Neodiprion lecontei: one gene and its partner. The protein of the gene in region 1 binds, or shares a complex with, the protein of each later gene. Links are inferred from orthologs where the notes say so. Each region holds a gene or a part of one and is shown on either strand. Other genes may lie near its edges. The genes, in order: probable N-acetyltransferase san and huntingtin-interacting protein K.

Region 1 (2,838 bases):
CAAAAATTCGGTTTCAAAGGGACTATTTTGAGTTATTAAAAAATTATCACCCTAAGTATTCTTACTTTCTCCAGGTTGCTCCATACTTTGAATGTAGTAGTTCTCGTAGTAGCTGTTCAGGTTGAATGGTAACACACTTCTAATTAGGCTGTTATAAGGAAATAGTAGAATTTTACCCACACTCATTACACACGCGACAGTTTTTACGTCACTAAAGACTGTCCGTGTCAAAAAAAAACTTTTTCTTCGTAATATTTCAGTAACTTTTGATGCACTAAGAAATGAACTACGCAACAGAATAACAAAAAACTCATCACATCGGCACAAATATTAAATATCTACGACACTATTAGACATACCTATGCATTTTGTTGTAGCGATCGTATATCACTTCTCGTACCCGAAATAAACGCGACGAAATAAAAATGGAACGTCCTGAAGTGAATAGCATCGGATGATTTTTCTATGAATTCACCGAAAATATTTCACCAATTTAGTCATACAGTTGAAGTACGTAACAGTCGAATTGCTATCGTCATTTGTTCAGCGTTAGAAAATCCGGTCGCAGGCATACTTCACTGAAACGATCCTCTTGGTGACTTTGAACTGTTTATTTGACGATCAGTTCACAATGCCAGCCTCACAAACCGGGTTAATGACAAAAAAAATCCTCACACTAAGCAGAAATTCGCACAAATTCGACATTCAGCACGCGACCGAAGCACGTTCGAACTTCTCATCTTCCCAGAATTCCGTGAGTTACCTGAAGGCAGCCGCTGCAGAATCACGCTTGTGCTAGCGGTTGAGCGGCAAAATAAAAAAAAAAAGAACATCGCAATTTTGACTGTCGGTACGTCGACATGAGGGGTGTTCTACTTTGCTGACTGATACTGCTTGTAGATATCTTCACAGGGCGTCCACTAACCCTATCCCGCCTATTCGTATCTTTACCACCTTCACCTAGCTCCGACTGCAGACGAAATTTTCGGAGGGATTCGAAGTACCGCACGAATCGCTCATTTTGATCTGAATATTATTTATTGACGACTACAGTACCTTACCTGACTAGCGTTTTCACGCATTTATTTGTAGAAATTTATTTATTTTGAGATAGGTGAATATCTATTAACGTATAATGACAAGGTGAGTAACCGTGTGTCCCAAATTTGAGGTTAGACTGCCGACCGTTGCTGCATGCTCGACGAATTGTATTTAAAAATATTTTTGCCCATTATACCTTGCAACTATATAGCAATAATTATTTTCCTTTATCAACGCACAGATCAAAGATAGAATTGGGGGATGTTACACCCCACAACATAAAGCAATTGAAACTGCTTAATCAAGTCGTATTTCCTGTCTCGTATAACGAGAAATTCTACAAAGACGTCTTGGAGGCTGGCGAGCTGGCTAAACTCGCTTACTATAATGACATTGTGGTATGTTATTTAATTCGACTCATAGATAATTATATATCCCTGACAAGCAAAATTTAGTCTCCTTTCACACATGTGGTATTCCAATCCCAGCTACACAGATTTACGTATGAAACAGTTCGGATGTCACTAGCATAAATATTTTCAAACAGTTTATCTTCAAACACTAATTTCAGGTAGGGGCTGTGTGTTGTCGTGTAGATACCTCAGAGAACTCGCGCCGTTTGTATATAATGACTTTGGGATGTTTGTACCCTTATAGACGACTGGGGATCGGCACTGTTATGGTACAACATGTACTTAATTATGTCTCTAAAGACGGGAATTTTGACTCGATATTCCTGTAAGTTATTTGAGTTACTTATTTAATTTACAAAATCTCCACACATAGTCTAAATTGAACTGAGCGCATGAAGTTCTTTTATTAACGTGTTGCTTCTGCTTTTGATCAGCCACGTACAAGTTAACAACGAGGGGGCTATTGATTTCTACAAAAAGTTCGGCTTTGAAGTTGTTGAAACGAAAAAACATTACTACAAACGTATCGAACCTGCAGACGCACATGTGTTACAAAAAACTTTGCGCCCGCCAACAACAGCTAATCATCAAAATCAATCAGCAAGTCAATGAATAAATTCTCTTCATGTATCAATCTTCCATCATCTGTTTTCATCGTATAATGTTATCTGCTGTACAAATTGTCAATAAAAATTGTTCCTTATATCCAATTTTTGTATAACCTATCGTGAAAAATTTAGCACTAGTAATAAAATGGACAGTTCTAATCAATTTCAATTCGAATTGAACCACATACAAACAGTGTCAACACTGAAAATTGAACACGATCTAGGTGTTTACTAAAAAAACTCGAACATTTATTGTTTGGTTAGTGTACAACATAGATAAATTTAGTTAGCTTCATAATTTTTCAATTACATCTGTTACAACATAGATAAAATTCAACTCTGGTAGGGAGAAATTCTTCAATTCACGTAACTTTCACCGGTTCGTAATATAAATATAGCATCGTCACGTATTTGTTACTTATCACCAATAACACATGAATTATTTCTGGAAAACTTCAATATACATTCCCAGCATAATAAGTACTTCAAAGAGATTTCACCTTGAATTATTGTGTAGCTGCTTGATCTTACATATATTTTGGAATCTCACCTGTCCTGTACGGCTTATGACCGTATTTTGGAATACAACTAAATTGACTAAATTCATGTATAGAAATAGATCGCTCATTAGAATAAATATAATACAATTCATTTAAATATTAGATGTGCAAGCCAACATGTAGTAACAATTGAATCCTGTAGTTAGCAACCAGAAGCTTATTACCTAAATGGTTATTATGTGAAGCAGGTGCTTCGAGTGGCTTCAATAATCCACG
Region 2 (3,732 bases), on another chromosome or scaffold:
TAATAACACTGCCATTCTGCGACTGTTGGATGATAAAATATTTTATTCGTACCTTCCAAATGTGTGTTAAAATACACTTGAAGTTTTAAGAAGCTTCGTTCGGTCTTTCCCTATCAAAAAAAAAAAAAAAAAATCGTCGACAATCACCCTCTTAGGTCTTTAAATCAGGACACCGTGTTAAATACTGTTTCATATACGGAGCATCCATTTCATCTCGATTGAAATTAGCGTATCCGTGATGTATTACAGTTACTCTGAATGTTTTTCCATACGAACACTTTTTAAAAAACAATTCTGCTTCTCTTCCTGACGTAGATACTTCACTTGCGACTAGCTAAAATAGCGTTTCGATTTTATGCCCACGATAATTTAAGATCGAGAGAGCAAATGAAAAGTTTTTGGAATGATTATCAATATTAATATTATGGAATACATCGAGCGCGGGTCGAATAGAATCCCATTTCGAAATGAATATTTCTTCTATTTTCATATCATAGACGTATTATTGTAGATAATCTAGTTTGCCTCCTGAAAAATTATCAAATTTATAGTATGCGTCACGTATTAATCGTAAAGGGATCATACAGATTAATATCGTACATGGACCGCATATACATATATACTTTCTGGTCTCTGCATCATTATTACATCTGATCTATTATTATTCATGATCTATGTATCCATTCTTCTCTCGGGTACCTATACTGTAATTAAATCACTGTTTTCGAAATCGGTACCTCTCTGATGTTTTGCAATAAGTTCTCAACTCTACCGTTGGAACATCTCAGAGAGAGCGCACGACGATTTTCGGTTGTCACACCAAATCCTATTAAGTACAACTGTCTTTATATTTTTCAGCCAACGTAGGAGGTGTTTGGCGGCGGTCGGCAGCGATCGGAGGTGGTCGAGGAGGACCAGGACGACGCGACGTCGAGTGGCCCGAGCAGGAGGCGGAGGGGTACAAGGTGAACAAGGAGGATGAAGTTGGTCGGAGATGATCGGCGGAGGTTGATGGTGATTGGGGGTGGTTGCTGGCGGACGCGGTTACGCTTCTTCCCACGGGTATAATCGAGCTGATCGACATTTCTAAGTCGCAGTCGACAAGAAGTCTTACGTACTCACTTTGTACTGACTCAATCTGAAGCCTTGATACCGAAACTTCTTTGCTACTACGAATGTCAGTGCAAGCTCGTTAGAGAGAGTCGATAGAGCAGAACTCCTCTAGGTAGGCTCCCAGGCCCACCTGGACCCACTTGCCCGCCGAAAACTGGTCACAAAAATTTATCCAGGGGTATCCGTCTTTATGTTCTTCAGTCAACGCCTGAATTCGAAATAGCTAGACTTATCCGACAATGCATTATCTTTCTGGATACACGTGACGGTAACATTAGTCTTTTCGGCCTTAAAGACTATACGTACCGACAGTTCGCCTACTTTAGTTGCGCAACGCAGAGGGCGCTGCTTGACGATGAATTTACGATGAATTTGTCTCGTCCATTTGCGCTCACGGAAAGCCCCATAAGGATAGCAAACTTTATACATCTCCAATCAACGCTAGTGCTATACAAAAATCCACAATCTGTGTTCGACAATGGCGGACGAAGATGTGAATGGGGATTCTGACGAGGTGCAGCAGGAAAAGTCACAAAAGAAAGCTGCAAAATATGATAGTGGTGCTGCGGATTTGGAAAGAGTAACGGATTACGCAGAGGAGAAGGAAATTTCTTCGTCAGACGATTTCTCATGCGTAAGTTCAATCCACGTGCACCACACTATCTGAACCATTCATTTATACCATAATCATCGTCATATTTCATACACGCATTGTTTTGAGTTACAAATAAATTCCCTCATCAAATTGTTCCATTTTCCTCGTATTAATTCAAATGCTAAGTTGTTATTCGTTTCAAAGATTCGACAAATTTCTCACGCCATTCAAAAGTGTCTAAATGGAACCTAACCTATCTTCAATTCTTCGCTATGCACCAGTGTAATGATAATCGTCATTGTCTTAACTTAGGCGCTAACCATCATCGGAGATCGACGGAATAAGGAAGCAGCTGAAAAAATTGCTAAAGAGAAAGAATTGCTCAAGGTCTCCATTCATAAAGACGATGTGGATCTTATCGTAAGTATTTGAAGAATAATCATTGTAAATTTTTTCACTGGAACAGTTTGTAACTGTTTGAGGGGATACAATTTGATAGGTAAACTACAATCTTAGCAAAAATATTAACCTCAAGTCTCTGTGCAACGTCGCAATGTATACTTCTATCAAAATAAATCTTTCATCTACTTCAGACACATCCTTACTTCCTGATTCGCAAGTTTCAAGTGTCATACACAACAGATTAAAACCCATTACAAACAGTCTCAATCAAAACTATGGTAGTAGAGCAATTAATTAATTTATAACCTGTGGCATGAGGTGAAGAAATATGCTTCAAAGAAATCTTATACTCCAGTTATTTATAAATTTGTCATTCTCGATAAATAGAATACTATTACACATTTGAAACCTCCTCTGGAGATCGCAATTCACTGTTACACTATATATTATTTACTACTCCCATCTTTGATAGTATGTATTTTTATTTGTAGGGATTCTCGTTGGTGTACTTTTTACAGTGAACCCTACCAATTGTAGTAAGAATTTTTACAGTAGTTGTTTGGATATTTCAGATGAAAGAGATGGAAATAAGTCGAAGCTTGGCTGAACGGACATTAAGAGAGCACAGAGGAGATGTTGTTGAGGCCCTTGTTACTCTGACCAACTGAGTTGAGATTATCTATGAAAATATTAGCTTCTCATTATTCCAAGCACTATTGTAAATTACGCAACGTATATATTTACATAGAAAACGAGGGAGGAACTTGTAAACTGAAGTTTGAATACGAATATTTATTATTAATATAAAATAAAAACTTTAAAAAAATACATAAATCCACAAACTTCTTATAATTTTTCATCCACTCGAATCAAACTTGTCATCTTTATCTTCTTTCTTTGTTAACGTATAAGATTGTACCAAATCTGGTGTTATTCTTTGATCAATGTTCCATCGAAACGTTTCAATTCCATTTCTCCTTACACTATAATTGTGAGGAAATTATGCCGAATGAAAATTCCAAAATCGTCGCCCTCAGCTTACTTTACAAATGGAGAAACCAGTAATTTGCCTCAAGATTACATTCTTTCTTGCATTGTCGTTGATCTTGTCTTTCAAAAGCCAACTGCAACATTATAAAAATTCTATTGCTATCATGATTTACACATACTCGAAAATTGTCAAATTGTGAAATGATACGGCACCTAATTATTTGTGTTGGAAAAAAAAATATCAAATTTAATTCAATAAACAATGCCAATTGCTTTTTTCATCGCAATTAAAATCGCTGAAATTACCAAACAGTGATAAAAAATGTATATAGCGACTACTAAATCCACACGTCAGATTATCGTAGTTATCATAATCCAGCTTTGAAACGACCACTTACATGTATGGCCTGTAATCAACACAAGAAAATTTCATCAATGACACAAAGGACTCTGTTATTTAAGTAAATGAGCTTAACTACTAGGGCTTGATATAGTTACGGCATCTGCTATAATTGAATGGAAAACGAATTGTATGCTCACGATTGCTTGTTCAATACTATAATCAGAAATAAAGTAGTTGTTAATAATCTTTTTTCATACGTTCAATAAAGATGATTCCTGAAAGAGATACA

What was found.
Region 2: probable N-acetyltransferase san (region 1) and huntingtin-interacting protein K share a complex: the UniProt entries of both Homo sapiens proteins name them as parts of the N-terminal acetyltransferase E (NatE)/HYPK complex. The link is inferred for Neodiprion lecontei from reciprocal best matches to the Homo sapiens genes NAA50 and HYPK.

Annotation. Positions count from the first base shown.
Region 1 is NC_060265.1:27,202,145-27,204,982, reverse strand, and holds probable N-acetyltransferase san, read left to right. Parts: upstream 1-926; 5' UTR 927-1,135; coding exon 1,136-1,143; intron 1,144-1,282; coding exon 1,283-1,439; intron 1,440-1,612; coding exon 1,613-1,779; intron 1,780-1,888; coding exon 1,889-2,066; 3' UTR 2,067-2,164; downstream 2,165-2,838. UniProt on the Homo sapiens protein: N-alpha-acetyltransferase that acetylates the N-terminus of proteins that retain their initiating methionine. Has a broad substrate specificity: able to acetylate the initiator methionine of most peptides, except for those with a proline in second position.
Region 2 is NC_060263.1:7,160,786-7,164,517, reverse strand, and holds huntingtin-interacting protein K, read left to right. Parts: upstream 1-1,489; 5' UTR 1,490-1,591; coding exon 1,592-1,747; intron 1,748-2,020; coding exon 2,021-2,128; intron 2,129-2,682; coding exon 2,683-2,778; 3' UTR 2,779-2,944; downstream 2,945-3,732. Other genes in the region: uncharacterized protein LOC124293900, read left to right, coding at 859-998. UniProt on the Homo sapiens protein: Component of several N-terminal acetyltransferase complexes. Inhibits the N-terminal acetylation activity of the N-terminal acetyltransferase NAA10-NAA15 complex (also called the NatA complex).